Arabidopsis thaliana: one gene and its partner. The protein of the gene in region 1 binds, or shares a complex with, the protein of each later gene. Each region holds a gene or a part of one and is shown in the gene's direction. Other genes may lie near its edges.

Region 1 (7,522 bases):
GCTACTGGTTCAGGAACTATACCGGCCTCTGCTTTAGCTTCTTCAGCTGCAACCTCTAACCATCATCAAGGTGGGTCTCTTACTGCTGGTTTAATGATCAGTCATGACTTAGATGGTGGGTCTAGTAGTAGTGGTAGACCATTAAATTGGGGGATTGGTGGCGGTGAAGGAGTTTCTAGGTCAAGTTTACCAACTGGGTTATGGCCAAATGTAGCTGGGTTTGGTTCTGGTGTGCCAACCACTGGTTTAATGAGTGAAGGAGCTGGTTATAGAATTGGGTTTCCTGGTTTTGATTTTCCTGGTGTTGGTCATATGAGTTTTGCATCTATTTTGGGTGGGAATCATAATCAGATGCCTGGACTTGAGTTAGGCTTGTCTCAAGAAGGGAATGTTGGTGTTTTGAATCCTCAGTCTTTTACTCAGATTTATCAACAGATGGGTCAGGCTCAGGCTCAAGCTCAAGGTAGGGTTCTTCACCATATGCATCATAACCATGAAGAACATCAGCAAGAGAGTGGTGAGAAAGATGATTCTCAAGGCTCAGGTCGTTAAAAGGATTGGGTTTTTTTTTGTATCTTCTGGATTTGAAAAAGCTTTTGGCTTTTGTTTTGTGATAATATTGTTGTAATTTGTACCACCATGGAGAAGAAAAAGAAAAGGTTATATACTGAGTGAGAGTGATAATCTATACTTATTGAAACCTCTGCAAAAACACAAGGTGAGTTCAATTTGAGGATGATGATACAAGAGAGTGGAATCTTCAAACCTTTTTTTCCGAGTGTTTGTGACAATTTTTTGGCAGTTGTTGTTTGAACTTGCAGGTGGAGTTTGTTGAATACACACAGCCAGAGATTTTTTTGTTTGGAGTCTTTAAGTTGCAGAGAGGCTTGTTTTTACTTGTTCTGAGTTTTGTTGCTTTTGAATATCAAGAAACCGGCTTTTTTCAGATAGTACAACAATGGTAATGTATACTTGTCTTCCATCACATATTTGTAGAATGAAGATTTATAGCTCTCTTTTGCTCAGTATTCTTCTATTGCATCTCCAAAGATTGTTCTCTTTCGTTCGATCTCTCTGAATGAGTTAAAGACTTTCGTTTAGAGTCGAGTGTAAAACACTTCGCTGCATGTTCTGATTCAGTGGCTTTGAGCTGCAATGGATTTCACAATGATGGTAACGTTGTATTCTTTAACTCTTACTTACATTCATGTTATTGCCCTGAGTGTGCCGTTAACTGTGGGAAGGTTTTGAACTAGGTACAAACCCTTCGCAGTTGGGAACCAAATAAGCTGGTATTGCATTTACTCTTTGCCTTGCAAGCTTTTTCAAAGATAAGTATAAATTGTTCAACGAGTCAAAAAGTTTATATCATTTTACTCATTTTGACTTGAATTTGACGGAACTAAGGAAAGAGACTAAGAGAGAGAGAGAGAGAGAGGTTAACGAGTCAAAAAGTTGCTTGATCTCTATGATTTGTCCAACCAATCAAAACAAGTGAAGAAAATTCAAAAACATTCACAAAGCTCTCTCTTTCCCTTTTGAGCAATGATCTAACTCAACACTATGGTCCAAATACAACTCCAATAGATCCATTCCAAAGCCTCCCTCATGATGAGAGCGTGACTTAAGTTGCTTACTCTTTTAATTTCCATTCTCTTCGACACATTGGGCAAGGAGCTTGACTTGTCTACGAATTCTTCCATTTCAATATACAGAAGTGAAGATGAAACGCGTGGTTACTTTGAGGTCTAAGACATGCAGTTTTGTTCTTACCAGAACTAAATAAAGCAGCTTAGCAATGTTCCAGTAAGCATGAGAGACAGTGTGTGTCCTAATTAACCTATATAAAAGTGAAAACATGAAAGCTGATTTTACATCGAACAAGTCATTGGACTTGTGTGTGTGAAACTGTAAAAGTCTTATCTTATTTTTACTATATTGGTGACTGATACATAACATGTTGTGACAGGAACTTAATTTACAACATGTTATGTAGAATAAATTTTAGTATTGAGACAACATAGAGACAACAAAAAAACCTAGAAGAAGATTGATATCCCAACTTCGTACCAAAACCCTAGTAACATCTTTCTCGTAACATAACCCTAATAGTGATTGAAATCTCTGATCAAGGGATTGCATGATGATCATTTACTAATTCTTAGTTTAGATCATCTAGAAGATTGTTATACAAGTAAACAGAATTATCTGTTTGACCTAATATGGGCCTGAGATAGCCCATCAATACCCACAACCAAGTTAACTCCATCTCAATAATTCGAGAAAAGGGGTAACGTATTTAATAATTTTTTCTATGTATTGACCGTTTGCACTACGTGACGTTTTCACGTAGAGTAAACGACGCGCATTCTTATAAAGAAACGAGGAAACAGCTGCTTTTTGTTTGTCGAAGAGCAAATATGTTTTCTCGATCGCGACCAAACAAGTAGAGAAGAGTGATTCTTCGCTTCGATTCAAAGACAGGTTTTTTCTTTTGTTCCCTGAGAGATCGAATCGAAGAAATCGAAATTTTTGTACTTCGATAAAAATCTGTAGTCTCTATAGAAATCGGAGAAGATGGACAACAAAAACGTCGTCGTTTGCGACAACGGCACCGGTGTAAGCTTCTTCTCTCTGATATCTCTTGTTTCAGACTCCGAACTTTAGTTGAATCTGATCAATCATTCCATTCCTATCTGGGTTTCGTTAAAAATCTCACTTTTGAGTTTGTTTAGGATCTAGTTGTCTTAAAGTTGCAAAATTTGAAAACTTTCATGTCTTAGCATAGTGTAAGATCGTGTTTCTATTGAAATCAAAACTAATACATGAGAAATCTCATAATGGGTTGCTTAAGTTTTGAGTTTCTTGTGATGGGAACAAATTGTGAGCCTCTTATTAAATTTTTCAGTATGTAAAATGTGGATTTGCTGGAGAGAATTTCCCAACGTCTGTTTTCCCCTGTGTCGTGGGAAGGCCATTGCTTCGGTATGAAGAATCACTCATGGAGCAACAAGTCAAGGTTTGTAGATATGTGACTTTAAATAAGCAAAACCAGATCATTGTTAGCCTTTTGAGTTTTGACTGAGCTGATATGCGTAATTCGGATTCATATACGTTTTGGTTTTGTTTCATTTTAGGATATAGTTGTTGGGGAGACTTGCTCTGAGCTCCGGCATCAATTGGATATAAATTATCCTGTCCACAATGGTATTGTGCAGAATTGGGATGATATGGAACATGTTTGGGATCATGCTTTCTATAACGAATTGAAAGTAAGTTTCTTCTCCTGCTTCTTCTTGCCATTTTTGTCTCGGTTCCATGTGTCTTGACTTACTCTTAAACCCTTTTTGTTATTAACAGATCAATCCATCTGACTGTAAGATATTGCTCACGGATCCACCTCTTAATCCGTCCAAGAATCGTGAAAAAATGGTAAGATATTATCAAGTCTTTGGTTAAGAGTTGCTTTGATGGTTGTTGGAGCAGTGATTTATTTTATGTTATAAAACAGATTGAGACAATGTTTGAGAAATACAATTTCGCTGGCGTTTTCATTCAAATCCAAGCCGTTTTGACTCTCTATGCTCAAGGTGCTTATGGAGACTATTGAAGGTTTAGATTTTCTTTCGTGTGTTTAGATAGTCACCTGTAAATAGCATTTATGTGTGCTTCCCTGATATTTTTCTTCATGTGTTGAACTCTTGGTTTCAGGTTTGCTAACTGGTTTGGTTATTGATTCTGGTGATGGTGTTACTCATGTGGTAAGCTATAAACCTCTGTAATTTTTTAGATCATATATTGCTTATAATAGAGAAGTTAACCGTCTTCGCCTCACATCTTAGGTTCCGGTGGTTGACGGCTACTCGTTCCCTCATCTTACTAAAAGAATGAATGTTGCTGGCAGACACATAACAGCATATCTCGTTGATCTACTATCTCGACGAGGGTGAGAAACTGATTCATAGACTCACATTCATTTTAATGATGTTGAGATGTTTTAAATTAGCTAAACTAAAAGACTGTTTGTTCAACAGATATGCGATGAACAAAACAGCTGACTTTGAGACGGTTAGGGAAATTAAAGAGAAGCTCTGCTATATAAGGCATGCAAAGACCTCTTCTCAGCTTTCCTCTAATATCTGTGTAGTAATGCATTACTAGAATAGGAAATAAACACAATTTGTTTTGTCTTTTTTTGCAGTTATGATTACAAGAGAGAATCTCAGCTTGGCCTTGAGACAACTATCCTTGTTAAGAATTATACTGTAAGTCTCTCTCCTGGTATGAACCTGTCAGGTGTGTGAATTTTCAAGGTTTCGATGGCAAATAGAGGCAAGAAACAGAAACTAGTGTACGTTAAGCTAATAGGAATCCAAACTCATGATCAGAACTAAATAGATAGCAGATTCTTGGCGAACTTGAGCCTGTAGAGAACTTTAAAGATTCGTGCCATCATTCCTTTGTTCTTTTTGGTAATGAAAGAATGATATTATCATCTTTTCTTTTCATGACATCGTTTCTCTGTTCTTGGGCGCTGTGTTTGGGATTTTTCATCCGATAGTCGATAAAGTTTCATACTTGTGCCAGTTGCAGCCTCTAAAGCTGATATTATCACCAAATTATTTTTTTTCCAGAGTACTAACCCGTTGTGTTTTTGAACTGTGATCAGCTTCCAGATGGGAGGGTTATCAAAGTAGGCACTGAAAGATTCCAAGCACCTGAAGCGCTTTTTACTCCGGTAAACCTTCATCGCGTCCTCTGCTAATTTCTCTTTTGGAATAGTTTCAACCCTCCAAGAATCTCGAGGCTGATCACAACCAAATATTTTTTCAGGAACTCATTGATGTTGAAGGTGATGGAATGGCAGACATGGTTTTCCGATGTATTCAAGAAATGGATATTGATAACCGCATGATGGTTCGTGTGACTCTTACGCTTGCTTGGTATTTCAAAAGAAAGATCCAACAAAACTAATCATTTATCTGTCTTAAACCCTTTGCTCTTTTTTCACAGCTCTACCAACACATAGTTTTAAGCGGAGGTAGCACCATGTACCCAGGATTACCTAGCCGGTTCGTATATTTTTTCTTCATCATAACCCAGCAAGAAGTTCCATTGTTTTATGTTTCATTGTCTTTTATTCTCTGTTTGTTTCAGTCTTGAGAAAGAAATACAGGATCGGTATCTCGACACAGTTCTAAAAGGAAACAAAGATGGCTTGAAGGTAAAAAAGATGATTCTGATAATGCCATGATCACTGTCAGTCATTAGCTCAGTTTTTAACATTTATCTTCGTTTTTCTTATCAATCAGAAACTCAGATTGCGGATCGAAGATCCACCGAGAAGGAAACACATGGTATACCTCGGAGGTGCTGTTCTTGCAGGAATCATGAAGGTAAGAGAAAAGTTCAATGCTATTCTCTCTTTTAACACGAAAGCATGAAATTTTAGTCTGTGTTATGATGTTAAGAGAATTTGGATTCGATGTTGCAGGACGCACCAGAGTTCTGGATCAATAGAGAGGACTATATGGAAGAAGGAATTAATTGTTTGAATAAAATGAGCCAAGCTTAATAACTTTCAAACGCAGAACTCATACTTGTACTTGTACCCCTTTTTTTTACTACCGTCAGGATGATTTAATTCCGTTTGTGAATTCAGTATTTTAGGTTTCAAAGTTTGAGTACAATTGGTTGCAGTTAGGGATCCAAAATTCGACATGTGATTGGTGGGATATACAGAAAAACGTGTATTAACTAATAATGTTGAGACTAATATATTGTGTAATAACCAAAGCCAAAAGGTCGAGAAGAGACGAAATGCATATATCTTAATTCTTGAGTAAGCAAACAGAGTCAAAACAGTGAAAGATTATTTGTAATTTTGAAAAGGAACCCTATTTCTTGCCACACAAGGTAGATCCCTATTGTTTTCTGTTAAAACCCAAAAGATTGCCACAACTCTGAATTGATGGAACCAGCTTCCTTCTACTGCATGTTCTGCAGCTAGTCTAAGTACAGCAGCTTCAAGCTAGATCAAAGACAAAATGATTACCTAACCTGCCATGAGTAAAAAAGGATTTGAAAACTTTTAAATTAACTAGAAACAAAAAAAACTGATTTACAATCCCAAAATAAAAAACTGTAAAAACTTTTTGAGGTCTTAATATGGGCTTTGGCCCAATAACGGCAACACCGTGTCAGAAACGTTGGTGTTGGTGACTGTTAAACTACCTCAACGACATATAAAACATTATGAGCGTTGGCCCAATAAAGAGATATAGGCCCATAAAGTTATAGAGAAATCACCCGGTGGTTCATCCAAATCTAACCACGACGAAGATTATTTCCAAACTGCTCAAACTTCTCCGGCGAGTTTTGGAGACATTATCGGAAAACGGCGCCATTTTATTAACCGTGATTTTCGTTGGCTCCTTCACTGCTAATTGTTAGCATCATCGCAACAATCTCCTTCTTCTGATTGATTCTCTCTGTAATTTCCTCTTCGCGCTTGTTTTTTCCGTATTTGCTTTCTACTGAAATTGGTCTCTGGTTATCTCTCGTAGATTAGGGTTTATACAAGCTTTGATGTCTAAAGCCACTAACTAGTTTTGTTTATGCACGTACTTGTCCTATTGTCTAGTTCTCGCTTCGTCTTACGAGTTCCTTGTCAGAAAGCTTGACCCTTTTTGTTTTCTTTTCCATTGCTTTGATTGATGACTCTTAGGGTTTTTGACTTGTATCTTCTTTGTTTCTCTATAGATTTTGTGAAGGCACACTGGTTTTTGAGCTGGTGTTGAAGCAATGGGTAGTTCATTTAACGCTCAGATATTAGTTGAGAAGCTTGCCAAGCTCAACAATTCTCAAGCAAGCATAGAGAGTATCCTCTTCTGTATATCATAATTTGGTTGTAGTAAAGCTCTGTAATTTCATTGTTTAAGTACTTAAATAGGTGCTTGGAAAAGACTATACAGAATTGGTATCTAAGTTAATGAGTAACAATGGTATAAGATGAAAGTATTGGTATCTCTTCTCAAGCAGAATATATCTAAATTCCTCAGGATTTTCTTTTACTTGAGCTGTAGTTTATACCAATTTTGAGTTTCAGTGATATTGGTGTCTGATATACACGGATAATTTTCTCAACTCTCCCAACTTGCTTTTATTGTAAATTAGTTTCCCTTTGATTAGTCTCATGTGATGTGTTGTTTTTCTCTCGCCTTGTATACTATTATGGTGTATGTTTTCCTTGACGTTATACAGCTTTATCACATTGGTGTATCTTTCACATGAACAAAGCAAAACATGTTGTAGAAACATGGGGTAGGCAGTTTCACTGTGCCCCACGTGAGCAACGTTTGGCATACTTGTACCTCGCGAATGATATCTTGCAGAATAGCAGGCGAAAGGGTTCGGAGTTTGTAGGTGAGTTCTGGAAAGTACTCCCTGATGCTCTTCGTGATATGATTGAAAATGGTGATGACTTTGGAAGAAAATCCGCACGCCGATTGGTACGTGAAGT
Region 2 (8,021 bases), on another chromosome or scaffold:
TTATTTCTATATCTCGATTTAAATATTTTAAAATGCTCTCAGTTTCGATCAAACTTTACAGACTAGAAAAATAGAGAGACCCATGATTATCCAGCCCACATATTAATCATGAATCATGATTAACATCAAAAATATTCCAAAATAATTGATCAAGTACAAAAGTTAAATTATTCGATAATAATGAACAACTGATAGTGGATTTATGACTTAATGTTGGTTTAGTGGAGATTAAAAATAGTAAGAAAAATTTGAGTTTGAAGCTTTATTTTTGTTTTCTTATCTATGTTAAGGATTTCGGGTGTCTTTAGATATCCTAACTTGTGCCTAGAGTTTGCGGAAAAGACGGAGTTTTGGTCAAAGAAGGACCGGGGAACAAAGAAATAACAGAACCAGTACGGCCATGGGATCGGTCTCACCAATGACTGATCTAGGACTCCTCAAACAACCCTCATAAGCCACATTGGCCGTGCCCATCAGTCAAATGCAGATCCAATATCCCTGGAGCCAACTAAATAACCCGCATCGATCAACCATCATGGTCATAGAGCCACCGATCTAGCCAACCAAACCATCCGACCAGTAGCTACATCGTTCTGCCATATCGGTCATATTTTTTTATCGATCCTAATCACAACCCATCTGATCCAGAAGCTGCATTGATCCCAACATCGGCCAATGAAACCCAAACATTATACTTACCCTTTGCAAATCCTATTCTACTGGGAAAATAATATAGTGCTCATCTTTTAATTGATGAAACCCGAACATTGCATTTTGAGAAATAGTATGCAGTCGCAAAAGCAAAAGCAAAAGCATATTCAAATGTAGAAAGAAAATATAACATCCTTGTAATTCTTTAACTAATTAGCAATCTTCAATGATTCACATCATTTTCAACAGAGTATGAAGGAGTTAACATTGCAATGAATCTGCAAATTACTTGTACATATACATAACGCCCAACCAGGGTTAGATAGGAGAAGAGACCAAAACAACAAATGTGTGTTCTTCCATGATCTATTAAAAAGCTTCAATATATAGTAACGTGAAAAAACCTGATTGATTAGTCAACGGCTTTAGAATCATTAGAAGAAGATGCCTCACCAGATTCGGAGTGTTCATGGTTATGATCACAGTGATGGTTGTTATCATCTTCTTCTTCACTGTCATCCTCATCAAAAGGCTTCTGTTTATGAAAGATGCAACACTTCTTCGAACTCTTCTTCTGCATAAACTCATTGTCTACAGTCCCATCTTTCCATGAAACTTTCTTCTTCTTCCGGTTCAACCGAAGCACTAATCTTTCAGTAGGTTGTGATTGAGAAACAGGGTTTTCTAATATGACAGAAGTTGTTGCTGAAGAGGAAGGCCTTGTTGCTGTGCTCATAGCTGAAGATTAGCTTTCAAAATCTGCATAAAAGACTAATTTCATAAGGTACCAAAATACAAGAACAGAGAATAAAAGTTCTTAATAGTAACAACTAACAACATGCTTAAGAATGACAAGAGCTAAAGATAAAAACTAAGACCTTAAACAAAATCGTAAAACAGAACAAAGCCTTTAGGGTTCATTCTTTAGGTAAACAAACCAAACAGATGCTATTTCTCTAACCCTAAATTCATTGCCTACGAGATCTGAACCCTAATCATTCCTAATTCCAGGGGATAAACACAAATCGGTGATATGAAATTGAGAATCAAATGTTGCAGTAAACAATAGAGAGACCTAGTTTCGATCGTAGAAACAATAGCGAAACCTAAACCTAGGGGAAAAAAAGATTCAAAGAATCAAATCGACGAAGAAGCAAACCTGTGAATCCCCAAGGAGGAAGGGACGCTTGTTGAATCGAGAAACTTTTTTTTTTTTTCGTTTTGTTTTTTTTTTCTTTCGCCGATGGAGAAATTTAGTCGCTCCAACCAAAAAAAAAAAAAAAAAAAAAATTCGGTCTAATTTTATATTTATTTTCTAAGAAATGTTAATATATATATTAGAAAAAAGACTAATACAGTGTAATTAATTTTGAGAAAACTATAATGTTAACTTATTTGGGATTCGAAAACTGAATATATAGAATGACTTTATAAGTTACTCATACTCATAGTGAGGTTTAGTTCAGATTTTTACATGGATGGATTTGATTAAATCCAATTATGTATATTTAAGTATTTAACTAATGCAGAATTTAGATCTTATTTTTTTTTTTGCTTATTATTATGCTGGGCCGCCCCTAAGACAGGGCCAAGGAAAATAGAAAATGATCTGGTCATAAAAAATTGGGCTATAAGAGTAAAATAAAACACACAAACAAAAACATCCGTCTCTTTCACTTACACTTTCACTTCACGTTTGCGACTGTGTCGTCGTCAAGCTCCGGATCTCATCGGCGTTTCATCATAATTATCTGTCCATCTATTCACCGTACGACTCCGTTTTAGAAATCTGTAGATGTCAATTTGAGAGAAAAGACTGTCTTCATTACAACACATTTGGGACAACAAGGATCACTCATGGCAGTGGTGGATGTTCATCGTTTCGCTGAGTCAATCACTTGCCATGCTTGGAGTCCTGATCTCTCCAGTATGTTTCTAACACCTCTCTGATTTTGTGATTCTCTTCTTTCTCTCTTCCGTCGTTTTTCTGTTTTTAGAATTATAAATGAGGAGGATCTTTAGTTAGTTTTTCTGAATTGACTTGTGTTATTCTTATACATCTTGGTAATCAAGTTTCTTCTAAATCCCTATAATTGAGAATTTTCGAGTCAATGTTTTATATGTCTGTTTGTCGGTGTCTCTTGTTAGGAGCACTTGGTATCTAGTATTGTACATTAGTAGATGCGCTTTTCTAAACAGATGAACCAAATCTATTGTTACAAATGATTTAACGTCTGTACTAAAGCCTGTAACCATTTATGTGCTTTGACATTTGTTTCGTTTTTCTTGGTAGTGGTTGCTCTCTGTCCTAACAACACTGAAGTTCATATCTATAAATCATTGTCTCAAGACCACTGGGAGAGGTTACATGTCCTCCAAAAGGTGAAACCTTTCTCTCTCCCTCTCTTTCTGTAACTTTTGAACTTGCACTCCTTTTGCTTTCTCTTCTTGGGAATTCCTTACTTTCGTATATTTATGTATTCTCATTTCACTGATCACTTGTCGCTGATAAGTGTTGTATAGACAGCTTGAATCTCCCTTACAACAACTTCATGATTATTGTTCGTCTTGTTGCAGCATGACCAAATTGTTTCTGGAATAGATTGGAGCTCAAAGTCCAACAAAATCGTCACTGTTTCTCATGACAGGAACTCGTAAGTTGCTACCTTTGATATACTTTGAGAAACTCCAAACCTGTTAATCTTAGTCCTTCACTTTTTTTCGTTCGTTGAACTGAGTTTAGAATGCTTCTTGAAGGTACGTCTGGAGCCTGGAAGGAGCTGAATGGGTACCAACTCTCGTTATTCTTAGACTAAATCGTGCTGCACTTTGTGTCCAATGGAGCCCCAAAGGTAAATGTTTAATTTTTCTGGTTCTTAAGCTTAATTTCCGTAATATATCATGTAATTTTCCTATAATTTCTACAGCTTCTAATCTATGTTCTCATCTTTTTGCTCAATACCCATAGAGAACAAGTTTGCTGTTGGAAGTGGTGCTAAAACTGTTTGTATTTGCTATTATGAGCAAGAGAATAACTGGTATTTTCTTCTTCTGCTCCTAATTCTCATTATTAGTCCTTGATTTTTTCTTTGGCAAGTTTCCTGACTTCTTTGCTACGAATGGTGTTGTTGGTCTATGTAATGATATTATCTTGTCTTATGTACTGGCATGATATTAGCACCAATCATATTTTTTATTATCTTGGCATGCATAACTGTGTATTGTTTAGAGATTTTAGAAAGATACTTTCATGTAAACTTTTAGTATCTGACATTGCTTGGCTTTACTGTTTGCAGGTGGGTCAGTAAGCTAATCCGGAAAAGGCACGAATCTTCAGTCACATCTGTTGCTTGGCATCCTAATAATGTACGTGCAATCAACAGAACCTCTTGTAGTTCATGTAGCCAAAATATTAAGCAGGCTCTCTGTAAAAGCTTTCTCTACCAAAAATATTCTATAAGTTGGCCACCAGATTGAGTATAGAGTACATGATCCCTAAAAATAGAATATCAATCTCCACAAACTAGTTAATCTTCTAAATCATTTTTTCTCGTATGCTTTTTTATGTTGCTGTGCTCTCTGATTGTCTGTTATGCATTAGGTTCTTCTGGCAACGACATCAACAGATGGAAAATGTCGGGTATTTTCAACATTCATCAAAGGAGTTGACACAAAGTATGCTCATTACTTGAACGTCTACTTTTAAGACATTTTTTCAAACATGAGGCCATTTCTTATTTTTCTTTCAATGGGCTGATACAGGGATTCAAAAGCAGGCTCACCAGCGGAAACGAAATTTGGGGAGGTTCGACTAGTTTGGCTGGCTTTCCTTCTTTTAGTAAATATTATAATTCTTGTGCCATATATATGTTCCGTCTACTCTCTCATCTAATGTTAGGGAGTTTTTTTTTCTACTGTGGCTTTGTTGAAACAGCAAATTCTTCAGCTTGATCTCTCATATTCTTGGGCATTTGGTGTTAAATGGTCTCCAAGTGGAAACACCTTAGCATATGTAGGTCAGAAAATCCTTCAGACTTGGGATGTTTTTCCATTGCGCTCTACTGAAATAATACAATGGAACTTCAACTTGGTTGCAGTTTTTACTACCATCTGTCATACTTTGCGTGTTTATGTAATCATGTATAGGTCATAGCTCCATGATTTACTTTGTTGATGATGTTGGCCCTTCTCCTTTAGCCCAAAGCGTTGCATTCCGAGATTTGCCTCTTCGTGATGTGGGTCAGCATCCACCTTTATTTTACTTTTGAGAACCTGGTTTCTCCGGTGTGTTATGTCCTGAATTGATATATTATGGGGAAATTGCTATTTCAGGTCCTGTTTATTTCTGAGAAAATGGTGATAGGGGTTGGATATGACAGCAACCCGATGGTATTTGCTGCAGATGATACTGGAATATGGTGTGTAACTCTCAGAAATATCTGCTTAAAATTCTCTTTCTTAGGGGTTTGCATACTATCAAATTTTCAGTTCTTTTATTCCTCTTAGATCACAGGCCGGATTGTTGGTTCTGAAACGAACCACTACCAATAATTGCTTCGTTTACAAGTTTTTGTATTTGGTCTGTAGGAGCTTCATAAGATACATTGGAGAGAAGAAAGCGGCATCTTCAGGTTCCAGTTACAGTTCGCAGGTACATACCAAATCTTCTTTCTTATATTGCAATATGTCTGGTTTTAGCCTTTTAGTGAAAAAAATATGACTGAACTTTAACTTATCCCTGAGTTGTTCCTCTAAAGATCGTAATCTTTGGGGGTTAGTGTAGTTCCTCTCTTTCTTTTTTTCTTGGATTTACGATACGACTTTCCACTTGCATTATTTTGTTGTGTTGTGTCTGACACATCTGTTCATTATGTTATTTTTCAGTTTTCCGAAGCGTTTGGAAAATTCTACGGTAGTCAATCAAAGTCTACAACAGCCAACGATGCTTCTGATTCACGTGGAGGCGTTCATGATAACAGCATAACGTAATTGTTTCTTTATCTAACTTGGCTTGTACCAAATCATTTGCCAAAAAACTGTCTCTTTAGCTCTTTTACTTGATTATCTGTTAAGAGCTGACGTAGAAGTTTACCTGCAGTTCCATTGTGCCTCTGGGCAAAGGAGGGAGTCCTAAAGTTATGCGATTCAGCACTTCAGGTCAGTCACTAAATTTAAATTTATATAACCCTTCATGGAATCACCCGATTCAATTCATACAAAATGACAGGTTTCATTAGCTCGCATTTTCGGTTTATTATTTATAGGATTGGATGGCAAAATAGCCATATGGGATCTAGAGAACATGCAACAAGAACTTGGCAATCAGTTTTAATAAAATCTGGATCAGTAGTCAGCTTACTTAATTTGTATATCAGATTTTGTTTCGACTAGCCTTTTCACCTTTTTCCAATTTCGTAATTGTCACACTTGGTAAACTGCATAATAAAGGCCATGTTTTCCTGGTTTGTGTAAGGGCAGGTGTTATTAAGTTTTGAGCTATGCCCTTGTCTCTGGATCTTTGTAATATCTTGAATGCTCTATCATTTGATTCATTATACGAGTTGGTATCTTGTATATTAACATAATAACATTTTCAGCTTTGTGTCGAATGAGTTCTCCGGACAACAACCACAGAAATGAATGCTATATATCAACAAACTTGAAATGAATCTTTTCATCTGTGATGATATATACAATCCAGAATGAAGCTGACACTAGTATCATCTGACATAATCATCGGGGAATCAAAAGCTCCGCTTAATATCTGTGTAATCAAAACATGGCTTACATCAACTGAAGCACGTACGTACGGTCTTCAGGGGTTAGAAAATTTGACCACTGGTATGTCCTTTAGGAAGCTGCAAGGTGACTTTATACACAGACCAAATGTGAAACCAAGAACACATATCGGGAAAATTCCAAGTACGTGCAAATGTTTTCACTCAATTTCTGGACCACGTTCATGAAGTATATAGCATTGTTTCAGAGAACTCTTAACTCTTGATTCCCGCCCAAACTGAACTAAGTGAAAGTATTCCAGCTGCCTTAATTCACAGATTCTATCTTGATCTAGCATCTGCGGGGAACAACTCGTATTTTGCATTTGTTTACAAGCATATTGTGATCTTCGTAGCTTTCAGAAAAAGCACAACGTCTTAGAGATTGCAGACTATATAGGTAAATTTTTCTCCATTGGGTGTCACTGAAGAGAATCTGAAGAGAACGTCCAACTTTACCAGAATGTTCTTATTGGGTGTCACTGAAGAGAATCTGATAAAACCTTTTTCTCTCTTCTGGATCAAACAGACCACCTGGTCGATCCCCATGGTTTTCTTCTTCATCGACATCATCTCGATCGTGGTTCCTGTCTTTCTTTCGCACCACAGGCTTCAAAGATTCAATACCTTTCTCTCTCTTCTTCTCTAGATTAGCCAAATATCGCCTGTGATTATACTCATACAAGCCCTGCTGCATCAATTCCCCAAATTTATCCTTCACAACAACGAGCGGGTCCTTGTGAATCAATTCCGAGCCATTGTATCCTTCTCTGAGGATCACAGTGTGAACCTGATACTTGTTTCCAACGTAGAATATGCCTGGATGCTTCAGAAGCATACCATTTAGCTTCTCCGGTAACCCAAATTCCCTCTTGAAATGACTCAGCTTTACGATTGACAGCTTTTTCCACAACGTCAACGAGAGTAACTCGTGCACCAAACCAACACTTCTCTTCTCACTCTCCTTTGAACCCTCAACAAGATCCCCATGATCCTCATACGGAGATATGTAAGGAAAGGCATTAAACTCCATGAACCTCTCCCACGGTTTGGTCCACGTGGAAGGTAGAGAGCAAGAGAAACTAGGCTCAGAGCCACATTTCTTTGCTGCTGCTTCAACTGCAGAGACAGCCAACTCAGGCTTCCACAACAAAAGCTCAATCTCCATTGAACTCTTCCTACCACTATAATTCACTAACCGAAACACATCTGAGTACTTTGGAACTATTCTGATAACATAATCATCAGGGAATCCAAAGCTCCGCTTAAACTCGTTAAGCTTCACGACATTGAGACGCTGATTAACACTCAACATAAGCAGCTTTGCAAGCCTATCTGCGAGTACAGGCTCTTGTGTATCTTTGACCAACTCTTCCTCTTCCACAAGCGTCATCATCGGTTTCGTTAACCTACAGTAATACTCATCGTTCTCGAGATAAACATGGAAACAACAAGGGTATTTCTTAAGCCAATTCAAGGCTTTCCCCTGAAGATCAAGAGTCTTAAACTTCTTCTGTAGAAACTTAATCGATGCAACCTGATTGGGACACCTTAAGATAATGTTCTTGAGCCGACTGTTAACAATCCATCGCT

Evidence for each region.
Region 2: ARP2 (region 1) and ARPC1B share a complex: the UniProt entries of both Arabidopsis thaliana proteins name them as parts of the arp2/3 complex.

What each region holds. Positions count from the first base shown.
Region 1 is NC_003074.8:9,950,840-9,958,361, reverse strand, and holds ARP2 (actin related protein 2), read left to right. Parts: upstream 1-2,379; 5' UTR 2,380-2,577; coding exon 2,578-2,619; intron 2,620-2,908; coding exon 2,909-3,019; intron 3,020-3,137; coding exon 3,138-3,272; intron 3,273-3,360; coding exon 3,361-3,432; intron 3,433-3,511; coding exon 3,512-3,590; intron 3,591-3,711; coding exon 3,712-3,761; intron 3,762-3,842; coding exon 3,843-3,946; intron 3,947-4,034; coding exon 4,035-4,103; intron 4,104-4,201; coding exon 4,202-4,265; intron 4,266-4,669; coding exon 4,670-4,738; intron 4,739-4,833; coding exon 4,834-4,917; intron 4,918-5,013; coding exon 5,014-5,072; intron 5,073-5,157; coding exon 5,158-5,224; intron 5,225-5,312; coding exon 5,313-5,396; intron 5,397-5,494; coding exon 5,495-5,575; 3' UTR 5,576-5,883; downstream 5,884-7,522. Other genes in the region: TCP20 (TEOSINTE BRANCHED 1, cycloidea, PCF (TCP)-domain family protein 20), read left to right, coding at 1-552; AT3G26990 (ENTH/VHS family protein), read left to right, coding at 6,805-6,880, 7,264-7,511. UniProt on the Arabidopsis thaliana protein: Functions as ATP-binding component of the Arp2/3 complex which is involved in regulation of actin polymerization and together with an activating nucleation-promoting factor (NPF) mediates the formation of branched actin networks.
Region 2 is NC_003071.7:13,344,275-13,352,295, reverse strand, and holds ARPC1B (actin-related protein C1B), read left to right. Parts: upstream 1-2,296; 5' UTR 2,297-2,508; coding exon 2,509-2,578; intron 2,579-2,944; coding exon 2,945-3,033; intron 3,034-3,228; coding exon 3,229-3,305; intron 3,306-3,408; coding exon 3,409-3,503; intron 3,504-3,619; coding exon 3,620-3,689; intron 3,690-3,947; coding exon 3,948-4,017; intron 4,018-4,252; coding exon 4,253-4,326; intron 4,327-4,413; coding exon 4,414-4,456; intron 4,457-4,585; coding exon 4,586-4,667; intron 4,668-4,797; coding exon 4,798-4,886; intron 4,887-4,983; coding exon 4,984-5,069; intron 5,070-5,238; coding exon 5,239-5,302; intron 5,303-5,535; coding exon 5,536-5,636; intron 5,637-5,749; coding exon 5,750-5,808; intron 5,809-5,915; coding exon of another isoform or gene 5,916-5,983; exon of another isoform or gene 5,984-6,248; coding exon 6,249-6,319; downstream 6,320-8,021. Other genes in the region: INH3 (inhibitor-3), read right to left, coding at 1,064-1,387; AT2G31290 (Ubiquitin carboxyl-terminal hydrolase family protein), read right to left, coding at 6,898-8,021. UniProt on the Arabidopsis thaliana protein: Functions as a component of the Arp2/3 complex which is involved in regulation of actin polymerization and together with an activating nucleation-promoting factor (NPF) mediates the formation of branched actin networks.